Macaca mulatta: one gene and its partners. Each later gene encodes a partner of the first gene's protein in a complex. Links are inferred from orthologs where the notes say so. Each region holds a gene or a part of one and is shown on either strand. Other genes may lie near its edges.

Region 1 (4,401 bases):
AACGATGGGTAGGAGGGGCAGGGGCGCCGGAATACGCGCGGCTCTGGCGGAGGGGCTTGGCGTCTGGCTGTAGGAAGCTAACTGAAGCCAGGCACCGCACAGGGCATTGCGAGCCTCGGGGCTGCGGAAGGTACCGCAAAAATGAATATTAATGGCTTCTTTCAACCTTTCAAAGATGTTCACATCCACATGCTCCTCTACAAGACAGTCTGAGCAGGTCCTTTCATCCCCACTTGACGGATGGGGCCACTGTGGCTCAAGGAGAAAAGCGACCTCGCCAAGGTCACACAGCTCATCCAGGCCCGGCCAGCCCCTGAAGGGCTGCCTCCTGGGGGCCCAGGGCTTTGCTCTCTGCAGCTTGGTTGAAGTCAGGTACCCGGCTCCCTGCTCCGACTTCTGCTCCTCCTCCTGCTCCTCCTTCTCAGGCTTCACTTCTTGGGCGGTTCTGCCTGGCACTCACTAGCTCCTCATCTCAGCCACTCTGCTCCCTGCTTTGACCCTTCGGTCCCAAACTCCACTCCCCTCGACTGACTCCAAGTCCCCACACCCAGGGTCTTCGCTGACCCAGGGTCTAAGCTGCCCTCATAATTTGCTCCCAGGGTGAGGGCTGGAGGCAGGGCAGGCAAGGGCAGCCTTTGGGGGCACCCCAGACCCTGCCAGGATTATCTGATTGGGAGGAGGGGAGCTGCGTTGGAGGTGGGCTGCCCAGGGGGCCTGAGGTGGGTCAGGGCAGTGACACTTCCACTCACATTTCCCTTCCTGTCTGCCCAGGTCAGCAGCCACCTCCTCCTCTTCCCATCCCCACCCCAGCAAGGTCAGCAGTCAGGGTTCAGGGGGCTGTGGAGACTGAGAGGAGGCGGCTCCTCCTCCCTTGCCACTACCCCTGGGTGGTCAGATGGGGTGTAAATGAGATGCAAATGCATCGAGCGAAGTGTTCCAAACCCCACTTGTCCAGACTCCAGAAGGGAGATGGGGAGGGCCAGAGAGAGTTTCAGGGGCTGTGAAACAGAATGAGTGGGGTGGGATGGGGACTGGGACCACGAGAGCAGGAAGACGATCAGAGGGCAGGGGATGCAGACCCTGGCCCTGTTAACATGGACACATCACCCACCTCATCCCCAGGCATGAGGAGGGGCCCCTTGGGCTTGCTGTTTTCCTTCCAACTGCTACCTCCTCCTGGCCCTCCAGGCTCTGTGTCTAACCCTAATGTCCTCCCACCCTCGGTCAGCAGCTGTCTCTGCCTATCTCTCCTGCAGTGAAACCTGCCTGTCCATGTGTCTGCTTCCCTCACCCCACCTGACCCTGTCACTCACGCCTCCAGGGTAGCGGCCCAGAATGGAACCCAGGCCTGGCCACCAGCTAGATGGGGCACTGGGGCTCACAGTCACTCAGTAACTGAAGCTCTAAGTTGGCCAGATAAAAAAAAAGTCCACGTGTGCAGCCTCTCCCCACTAGATGGGCCTTTTTAAAGGGGCTCCCACCAGCAGCCAGGTTAGGATTGGTAACTCAGCTAGCTGACATGGACACTTTGGGAAGTTACCCCCAGGGGTCCCTGGGGTTGGAGGATGGGCCACTCCAGGGAGGCCCCCTCTTCCTGTCAGCTGCTCTCCCCAGTTATCAAGGCCAGGGATACTGGCTCCTCTGCTGAAGAGGCCCTGAGAGGGAGGCTTCCAGAGCCCCCAGAGAGCTGTGCCCACCTCCAGCCCCACCCCCATGAAAGGCCAAAATCCTAGGGACTCTGGTCTTACTGAGAAGGTGCCTTCCTTGGGGTCACAACCAAATTTGGCCATAGTAAACCTGACAGCTTCTTCTACACAGGGCCTCCACCCCCTCACCCATCTCAAGAGTCACAGCCCCTGCCTCTCCCATTCCACACCCCTCCACACCCCTCCCAGCCAGGCCCTACTGACTCAGCTCCAGCCTCCCGGGCTCCCACGTGCCTTTGCAGCCTGCCTGTGGCAGGACAGTGCTCCCCTGTCCCTTCGGTCTCTAGGCCTCACATCCCCAACTCCAGCCCTTCCTTCACACCTTCGAGGAGTTAAGGACATCAGCTTCTGGTGGCTGAGTCCGCCAAGGGGACCCTCAGAACCCCTAACTTGGGCTAAGTCCCTAGAGCGGGCCTCTCCCCGACCCTGAGGCAGAAGCTCCAGAGCCCTCCCGCTGAGATGCAGAGGTGGCTCAGCCTGCGAGCTTCCCACTACAGTGCCTCCAGGGTCACCTGCTCCTTGCTCCGGAGACACAAGCAGTGACACTGTCCCAACGGATGAACAGACAGCCCAGCCCAGCCTCTGCCATGTCCCCATCCCCCACCCCCACCCCCAGGGCAGGGGCAACACCTGGGCCCACAAGGAAAAGAACGAAAGTCAACCTGTCGGCTACAGCGAGGACTCCCCACTTGGGGGGGAGAGTCCCCAAGTCTCACCCCCGCCCCTGACAAGAGCCATGCAAACGCCTCCCTTCCCCGCCTCGCACCAGACCCGGCCGGCCGCCTGGCGACGTGTTCGGGTGCCAGGGCGCCAGCACAGTCCCGGAGCCGGGCCGTGGGCCATGGCGCCCCCCACTAGAGGGGTGGGAGAGCGGGAGTGCCCTCCCGGCCCCTCCCGATCAGCCCTCCATTCAGCCCGAGCCAGCTCGCTCGCCCTCCCCCTCTAACTTTCCCCCACTCACCACCCCATGGACCAGAAACTCAAAAAGTTTGCTTTTCGTGGCTTTGCGCGCCCCTCCGGCAACTTCGTCCGCGGCCATCGGGGTGGGCTCAGCGGCTCCTCTCACTCTCTCTCTCTCTTCCTCTTTCTTTCCCTTTTCTGCCTTTTTTTTTCCTCCAACTCTCCCCTCTGAGTCCTGCTGGGCTCTCTCACACTTCTACTCGAGCGGAGTGGGGAGGGGGCCCCTTCAGGGCTGCCCTGACGGCCCACGGCCCACGCCGCCGCCGCCCGCCCGCCGCCGCCGCCGCGGCCGCGGCTGCCGCATTCCTGCACTGATAAGACAGAAATAGTCCGGCGGCCCGGGGTCTGCCTGTTGACTCGGCGGGGACGGGGCCGCCTGCCTTTCCAAGCCCGCTGTCCAAACAGCGCAGATAAGCGGCGAGGCGCGCCGACCAGCCCGGCCGCGGGCGCTGGGCAGCAGTGCTGCAGCCCGAAGCCGCCGAGGCCCGCGGGAGGCGGCGCGAGGAGGGGACGCCAGGGGAGGCGGCGGGGGGTCGCCGGCCACCGGCTCTCGCCACAAATAGTTTCTCCGTCAGGGAATTCGCCGGCCGCGCCAGGCAGGGAACAGTCAGTTCCAACTTTTCCCCCAGCGGGCTCCTGCAGCATTTCTGAGGCCCTTTCCCCAGAGACCTGGCAGGCCGAGCAGGGAAACATTCGCTGGCAGGAACCGGGGGAGCCCGGCCCGCGAGGCCTCGCGCCTGCCCGGGGCCGGCGGCGGTGGGTGTGCCCGGGCGGCGGCGTGGCCCTGCGTCCACAGCTGTGTGTGCCCTTGTCTCACACGCCGTGTGTGTCCGCGCCCTTTTGTGGTGTGTCAGCTTATGTGCGTGCAGACAGACGCCCTGTCTGTGTGCCTCCCTCCACGACAGCCTCCGTGCGCGCGCCTGCGTGTGTGGCAGGACGTGGCCTGTGCCTTTCAGCTCTGTGCAAGGCTATTTCTGGGTATGTGAGTCTTTGTTTGCCGTTCTGTGAGAAAGTGAGGGCAATAGGGGAAGTATTTCAGAAAGAGGGACAGGGATTGTGTTCATGAGAACAGGAAGAGAATGAATGTGGGGAATGGCGCAGCGCCAAGGGGGTGCTTGGGTGGGTGCGTGGAGAGAACGAGGCAAGCCGAGCTTGGTTTTCTTGGGGTGGGGGTGGAGTGGGGTTAGGGGACCCAGAGGAGTTGGGGCAGCTGGGCTGGGTATAGTGGGTATATTGGGCCGGCCTCAAGACCCCAAAGAGAGGGATCTTGAGGCTGCGGTGTGGGGTGGGGTGGCAAGGGAGCCCCAGAAGGGGCGTGTGGAAGGAGTTGGCAGTCCCTGGAGTGGAGGAGGGACCGGAAGGAGGAGGGGCAAATCCTGACATACCCAGGCTGGGAGCCCTGGGCCTACCCAGGTCCCCAAAGGCCACGCCCCTTTTTCCTCCTTCTGGGGGAGGAGCCCGTGGGCTTTGGAACAAGGCCCCTTGGGTCAAGTTTGGGGGCCTGCTGGGGCCTCACTGTGAGAATCCAGGTGAAGGCAGGGCCATAGCCTAGTGCCTAGGGGAGTTTGTTGAAACACTTATTTGAAGTTGGGTCCTGAAGACTGAAGTGTCCTGACCCTAAACCCTTCAGAATGCCTTTGCCTAGGGGTCTTTTCTGCCTGCAGCCTGATTTCTGCTGGCCCTGGTTGTGCTCTTGGCTGTCACTGTTCATTTGGGTGTCCACTGTCAATCTGAA
Region 2 (3,640 bases), about 140 Mb from region 1:
GGAGAATGGCGTGAACCCAGGAGGCGGAGCTTGCAGTGAGCTGAGATCCGGCCACTGCACTCCAGCCTGGGCGACAGAGCGAGACTCCGTCTCAAAAAAAAACAAAAACAAAACAAACAAAAAAAAAGAAGTAACTGGGGTCTCAGAGCCTTTCTCCAGGAGATGAGTCATCACCAGGAGGAGAGATTTGCACACTGGGGATGAGCTGGACCCTGGCAGAGCAGAGAGTGACCAGACCAGATCTGGGCCCAGGCCCCTCATTTGCCACTGCTGTCTCTTTGACTTACCCATCCGATGCCAGCTTTGCAAACGGGCGGTCCACGGGCCTTGTGCTGGACAGTGGGGCCACCCACACCACGGCCATTCCAGTACATGACGGCTACGTCCTGCAGCAAGGTGGGGCTTCGGCAAGGGGCAGGGGCGCACCAGGAGGACGAGATCCTGACACTGCCTTCCTTCCAGGTATCGTCAAGTCCCCTCTGGCAGGGGACTTCATCTCCATGCAGTGCCGGGAGCTGTTCCAGGAGATGGCCATTGACATCATCCCACCTTACATGATCGCAGCCAAGGTGGGGCCTCTGGGGACACAGAGCTGCCACTAGAGTCCTGGCCACTCGCCCCATGGCCGTCAACCCGCTGACACACGAGATATCAGAGCAGAGAGCAGCAGGCTCCCCAGTGGGTCCTGGCTCCAGTTTCTCCTTATATAAGTGAGGCATCTGAAATCCAGACAGGCTGAGGGATACGCTGAGGTCATGGAATCAGCTAGCAGACAGCAGGATGTGTGAGGGCCAGTGTGGTGGGTTCTAGGGTTCAATATAAACCCAGGTTCAAGTTCTGCCTCTGCCGTGCAAGAGCTGTGGGACCGGCCGGGCATGGTGGCTCATGCCTGTAATCCCAGCACTTCGGGAGGCCGAGGCAGGCAGATCACTTTGAACTCACTTCGAGACCAGCCTGGGCAACATGGTGAAACCACATCTCTACTAAAACTACAAAAACTAGCCAAGTATGGTGGCACATGCCTGTAGTCCCAGCTACTCAGGAGGCTGAGACTGAAGAATCACCTGAACCCTGGAAGCAGAGGTTGCAGTGAGCCGAGATCGCGCCACTGTACTCCAGCCTGGGCGACAGAGTGAGACTCTGAAAAAAAAAAAAAAAAGAGCTGTGTGACCAATAGCATGATATCAAAGCTCCCTGGGCCTCAGTTTCCTCTTCTGTAAAGTGGAACGGTAATAGGCAGTAGCCAGGGTGCTGTATGAAGTGACACTGTGTGCTTAGCTCCGTCCTGTGCCCTCACGTGGATCGCGGCCCCCTAGGAGGCCATTCTCTGGAGATTCTGTCACTGCTGTATTCCTGGTGTTCTCCAGGTCAGCTGTATCCACTGCATGAAGGGCACACACGGAGAGAGAGGCATGCCCCATTCTCTCTCCTGTCCATCAGGAAAGGGTGAGAAACCCTCTTGCAGGCAGCACAGCAGAGCCTCCAGTGCCAGTTAGCTGCAGAGCTGGGAACAGTGCCAGGAAGGTGGGGTAGGGGTCAGGGTGGGCTAAGAAAGGGTGTTCCTACGCTTTGTCCCCACAGGAGCCTGTCCGGGAGGGCGCCCCCCCAAACTGGAAGAAGAAGGAGAAGCTCCCCCAGGTCTCCAAGTCCTGGCATAACTACATGTGTAATGTGAGCCTCTGGAGAGGGTCCCCTGAAGCCCCCTCCCCTGCCGTGAATGGGGGCGAGGCAGGGGCCTTGCATGGGAGGTGGAGCAGGGAGGGGGAGCTGGGCGGGGGGTGTTGCTCAGGAGGAACCCAGGCCCTCATCACCCTCACTGGGATTTCAGGAGGTGATCCAGGACTTCCAGGCCTCCGTGCTGCAGGTCTCAGACTCCCCCTACGATGAACAGTGAGTGTGGCTCAGGGCTGGGGGGTGGGAGAAAGGGCAGAACTGGGACTCCTGGGGTGGGCTGGGGGACTCTGGTGCTGTCCACCCACTGATCCCTCTTGAGCACCCCAGGCAGAGTCCTGCTCCCTTCTGGGCAGGGTGGCTGCACAAATGCCCACAGTGCACTACGAGATGCCCAATGGCTACAACACAGACTATGGCGCCGAGCGACTCCGCATCCCCGAGGGCCTCTTTGATCCCTCGAACGTCAAGGTTTGGCTGTGTGGCAAGGACTGGGGTGGGTGCTGGCTGCAGTCCTTGGATCCTGGGGCGTGGGGGAGGCTGGGAAGGATTGCAGGGACTGGGGGAAGGGGGAGAGGGCCCACAGCCCCAGTCACCTCTCTCTGCAGGGCCTGTCGGGGAATACCATGTTGGGTGTGGGCCACGTGGTGACCACCAGCATCGGCATGTGTGACATTGACATTCGCCCGGTGAGGCCAGGCCGGAGCTGAGGCTGGGCAAAGGGGCCCAGGGGAAGTGGGAAGGCAGGGTTGGGGGGCTGTCCCCCGTGGCTCACTCCTTCTTCCTGCTCTCAGGGCCTGTATGGGAGTGTCATTGTCACCGGCGGGAACACACTGCTGCAGGGCTTCACTGACAGGCTCAATCGAGAGCTTTCCCAGAAGACCCCACCGGTAGGAGCCCACCCCTGACCCAGTGCCCCAGAAGCCCATCCTGGCTCAGCTGTCCAGGACTGAGTCCCCCATTCTTCCCATGTCCTTCCTTCTGTTCTGTCCACCAGAGCAGAACCCCTGCCCCTGAGGCTTCCCAAGTCTTCCCCCTGCCCCCCAAGCCCTGTCCCTTCCCAGAACCTAGGTGTCTGCTTCCCCCAGCCCCTTTTTACCCCCAGAGCATGCGACTGAAACTCATTGCCAGCAACAGCACCATGGAGCGCAAGTTCAGCCCCTGGATTGGGGGTTCCATCCTGGCCTCACTGGTGAGAGGAAGGGGACCTGGCCTAGCACTGACTGTGGGGGACAGGGGAGACCCAGACAGCGCCCGCCACTTTGCCTGCCTCTTCATTCATTCATTCATTCATTCATTCAACGAACATTTATTTTTGAGAAATGTCGGTCAATGAATGTTCCCAGAAAGGTGAACAGGACACAAATTGGGGGCAGGGGCCCAGTACAGTGACCCGCACCTGTCATCCCAGCACTTTGGGAGGCTGAAGTGGGAGGATGGCTTGAGGCTAGGAGTTCAAGACCCAGCAGGGGAACATAGCAAGACCCATCTCTACTTTTACAAATTGGGGAGAAGAGGCCGCGCACGGTGGCTCATGCCTGTAAACCCTGCACTTTGGGAGGCCGAGGCGGGCGAATCACTTGAGGTCAGGAGTTCGAGACCAGCCTGGCCAATACGATGAAACCTTGTCTTTACTAAAAATACAAAAAATAGCCAGGCGTGGTGGTGTATGCCTGTAATCCCAGCTATTCAGGAGGCTGAGGCAGGAGAATCTCTTGAACCCAGGAGATGGAGATTGCAGTAAGCTGAAATCGTGCCACTGCACTCCAGCCTGGGTGACACAGTGAGACTCTCTCTCAAAAAAAAAAAAAAAAAAAAAAAGGAGTAGAGGGACAGGTAGTTGGAGAGATTGGTCAGGATGAGATTTTGGTGAGACACCCACTGTGTTCAGTCAGCAGAGGGGAGACCCTGATGGTTTGGGGCAGGGAGTGATGTGGCAATGCAGGCATGATTGGAAAGACTGCCAGGC
Region 3 (3,640 bases), on another chromosome or scaffold:
TTGGAGGGCATAGTGATACCTGTTAGGTGTGTGTGGGTATATGGAGTTTCTGTCTGCATCCCTTCCCCTGGGAGTTGGGATGGATCAGTATCTGCCTGTATTTTTTTTTTTTTTTTTTGGAGATGGAGTCCGGCTCTGTTGCCCAGGCTGGAAGTACAGTGGCACGATCTCAACTCACTGCAACCTCCGCCTAGTGGGTTCAAGTGATTCTCCTGTCTCAACCTCCCACCTAGCGCACATCGACACGCCCGGCTAATTTTTGTGTATTTTTAGTAGAGACGGGGTTTCACCGTGTTGGCCAGGCTGGTCTCGAACTCCTGACCTCAGGTGATCCACCCGACTCGGCCTCCCAGAGTGCTGGGATTATAGGCTTGAGCCACCGTGCCCGGCCATCTGCCTGTATTTTCTTCTGTGGGTGCCTGAGGGTGTCCGCCTCTGTATCTCCCCAAGGGCGTCTGGATGTCTCAGTGTCTGGTTGGAGCTCTTTCCTCTCTTAGGTGTATCTTCCCGGGTGTCTCCAAGTGTCTTAGAAGGCTTGTGTCTTGTGTATGTCTGGTTTGTCAGGGCGTCCAGCTCCTTCCCAGTGTGTCTGGGTGTGTTACGCGGTGCGGCCGTCTCTTTCTGTGGGTGTGTAGGTGCCTCGGAGTGTCTGGGAGAATCTCTTCCTGATGGTGTCTGGTGTATCAGGTGTATTTCTGCACGTGTGTGTCAGTCCATCAGAGGATCTGGACTTAACCTTGAATGTGTTTAGGAGTATCAGGGTCATTGGGGTCAGTTTCTCTTCCTGAGTCCGAAGGTCTGTGTGTACCCAGGAGTGTGGCAGTGACCACCTGGCTGTGTCTCTGTCTGTCTGTGTCTCCTATGTGTGTGTGTGTGTATCTAGCTGAGCAATTCTCCCTGGGTATGTTGGTATCTCCCCACTATGTGTCTAGGCATCTCATCTGGCTGTCTTCCCCAGGGGGGCCTAGGTATCTGGAGGGCTAATTCTTTCTTCTTTCTTTCTTTCTTTCTTTCTTTCTTTCTTTCTTTCTTTCTTTCTTTCTTTCTTTCTTTCTTTCTTTCTTTCTTTCTTTTTCTTTCTTTCTTTCTCTTTCTTTCTTTCTTTCTTTCTTTCTTTCTTTCTTTCTTTCTTTCTTTCTTTCTTTTTCTTTCTTTCTTTTTCTCTCCCTCTCTCTTTCTCTCCCTCCCTCCCTCTCTCTTCTCTTTCTTTCTTTCTTTCTTTTCTTTTTTCTTTCTTTCCCTTCCTTCCTTCCTTCCTTCCTTCCTTCCTTCCTTCCTTCCTTCCTTCCTTCCTTCCTTCCTTCCTTCCTTCCTTCCTTCCTTCCTTCTTCCCTCCCTCCCTCCCTCCCTTCCTTTTCTTTCTTTCTTTTCCTTGTTTCTTTCTCTTTCTTTTCTTCCATCCAGTTTGGAGTGCAGTGGCACGATCTCAGCTCACTGCAACCTCTGTCTCCCGAGTTCAGGTGATTCTCTTTCTCAGCCTCCTGAGTAGCTGGGATTACAGGCGTGAGCAATTACATCCAGTCAATTTTTGTATTTTGTTTTTAAGTAGAGATGAGGTTTTACCATGTTGGCCAGGCTGGTCTCGAACTCCTGACCTGAAGTGATCCACCCACCTCGGCCTCCTAAAGTGCTGGGATTACAGGTGTGAGGCACCGCACCTGACCAGCTGATTGTCTCTGCGCATCTCTGAGAGTACCCATGGGTCCGGCTATGTCTCCTTCATGTGTCTGGCTGTCTCCAAGGATCTGGCTATACCTCTCTGAGTCTCTAGGCTGTATCTGAGAGTGTGGCTTGGCCAGGCATGGTGGCTTGTGCCTGTAATTCCAGCACTTTGGGAGGCTGAGGCAGAGGATCACTTGAACTCAGGAGTTTGAGACCAGCCTGACTAACATGGTGAAACCCCGTCTCTACCAAAAATACAAAAATTAGCCGGTGTGGTGGCGGGCCAACCACTCTGCCTGTAGTCCTAGTTACCCAGGAGGCTGATGGGAGGATCACTTGAGCCTGGGAGTCGCAGTGAGCTGAGATTGTGCCACTGCACTCCAACCTGGGTGACGGAGCGAGACCCTGTCTCAAAAAAAAAAAAAAAAAAAGAAAGAAAGAAAAAGAAAAAGGAGAGCTTGGTTGGGCCTCTTCCTTTCTGCGTGTGTCTCAGAAAATCTGTCTGGATGTCCCCTATGGGTGTCCATGTGTCTCCTCTGTGAGTGTGTGTATCTGTCCGTATTTGTCTGGGTGTGTTTAAAAGTCGCTGTGTCGGCCGGGTGCGGTGGCTCAAGCCTGTAATCCCAGCACTTTGGGAGGCCAAGACGGGCGGATCACGAGGTCAGGAGATCGAGACAATCCTGGCTAACACGGTGAAACCCCGTCTCTACTAAAAAAAAATACAAAAAACTAGCCGGGCGAGGTGGTGGGCGCCTGTAGTCCCAGCTACTCGGGAGGGAGGCTGAGGCAGGAGAATGGCATAAACCCGGGAGGCGGAGCTTGCAGTGAGCTGAGATCCGGCCACTGCACTCCAGCCTGGGCAACAGAGCGAGACTCCGTCTCAAAAAAAAAAAAAAAAAAAGAGTCGCTGTGTCTTCCCTGAGTAGGTCTGGGTGTGCCTGATGGCCTGTGTCTTTTTCTGAGGCTTTCCGGTATATCCAAAGTTCTGACTGTGTCTCCTGCCGTGCGTCCCAGGGCATCTGAGGGTGTGGCTGGGTCTCCCCGGGGTCTGGGCCTCCCTTCTAGGGCGTGTAGTTAAATCCTCGCCTCGGCTGCTGGCCGAGTGTGGGAAAGCTTCTTCCCTCCCGCAAAGAGCATGGTCCCCCCACCTGCATAGTTTGAGGAGTCCTCTAGGGTCAACTTCCCCATCTGACCCTGCCATGGCCCTGTCCCCAGACTGTGAAGCACCCCTGAAGAAGGAGGGTGGCCTCCCTGAAGGGCCCGTCCTCGAGGCTCTGCTGTGTGCAGAGACGGGGGAGAAGAAGATTGAGCTGAAGGAGGAGGAGACCATTATGGACTGTCAGGTAGGCCCACCCCTGGGGGACCCCCCGACATGGCTTCCTCTCACCCCTGCCGGCCGCCAGCCCGGGCCCTCATGTTCCTGCTCTGAAACCCCCCGGTTTCCTCCAGCCCTCGGGCATCCCAGTCTCCATCCTCCCAGACTTCATCTCTGTTTGGAAGAACTCCTGACTTACGCTCTCATCCCCAATCTCCACCTCTGCCCAGAGCCCCTCAAAAGCAGGTCAGTGGCTCCTACTTTCTTGATCCGTCTCCTTTCTCTATTGCCCAGAAACAGCAGTTGCTGGAGTTTCCGCATGATCTCGAGGTGGAAGACTTGGAGGATGACATTCCCAGGAGGAAGAACAGGGCCAAAGGAAAGGTATCACCCCAAGGTTCTCCTCTCCCCTGCTCCCCTTAATGACAGGTCTCATTCGTGGAGCAGGCGCAGTGGTCGGCCCCTGCCACAGTCTGACCTCATTGAATCCCAGAACAGCCTGCAGGGGTGGGGGATTTAATACCCATTTTACAGATGAGGAAACTGAGGCTCATCTGTATTAAGCCATTTGCAAAGCAGAGATTATGCAGTGGGTTAGAGCTACCTTCATCCCCGTGCCGCAGAGGAAGAAGCTAAAACTTGGAGAGGTTTGAAGCCCCACAG

Evidence for each region.
Region 2: SMARCD3 (region 1) and ACTL6B share a complex: the UniProt entries of both Homo sapiens proteins name them as parts of the BAF complex. The link is inferred for Macaca mulatta from reciprocal best matches to the Homo sapiens genes SMARCD3 and ACTL6B.
Region 3: SMARCD3 (region 1) and DPF1 share a complex: the UniProt entries of both Homo sapiens proteins name them as parts of the neuron-specific chromatin remodeling complex. The link is inferred for Macaca mulatta from reciprocal best matches to the Homo sapiens genes SMARCD3 and DPF1.

The regions. Positions count from the first base shown.
Region 1 is NC_133408.1:190,678,881-190,683,281, forward strand, and holds the start of SMARCD3 (SWI/SNF-related matrix-associated actin-dependent regulator of chromatin subfamily D member 3), read right to left. Parts: upstream 2,832-4,401; 5' UTR 2,746-2,831; coding exon 2,668-2,745; intron 1-2,667. UniProt on the Homo sapiens protein: Involved in transcriptional activation and repression of select genes by chromatin remodeling (alteration of DNA-nucleosome topology).
Region 2 is NC_133408.1:47,852,034-47,855,673, reverse strand, and holds part of ACTL6B (actin-like protein 6B), read left to right. Parts: intron 1-301; coding exon 302-396; intron 397-462; coding exon 463-569; intron 570-1,581; coding exon 1,582-1,671; intron 1,672-1,828; coding exon 1,829-1,890; intron 1,891-2,027; coding exon 2,028-2,142; intron 2,143-2,279; coding exon 2,280-2,360; intron 2,361-2,465; coding exon 2,466-2,561; intron 2,562-2,759; exon of another isoform or gene 2,760-2,776; coding exon 2,777-2,863; intron 2,864-3,640. UniProt on the Homo sapiens protein: Involved in transcriptional activation and repression of select genes by chromatin remodeling (alteration of DNA-nucleosome topology).
Region 3 is NC_133424.1:49,293,341-49,296,980, reverse strand, and holds part of DPF1 (zinc finger protein neuro-d4), read left to right. Parts: intron 1-2,877; coding exon 2,878-3,005; intron 3,006-3,271; coding exon 3,272-3,361; intron 3,362-3,640. UniProt on the Homo sapiens protein: May have an important role in developing neurons by participating in regulation of cell survival, possibly as a neurospecific transcription factor. Belongs to the neuron-specific chromatin remodeling complex (nBAF complex).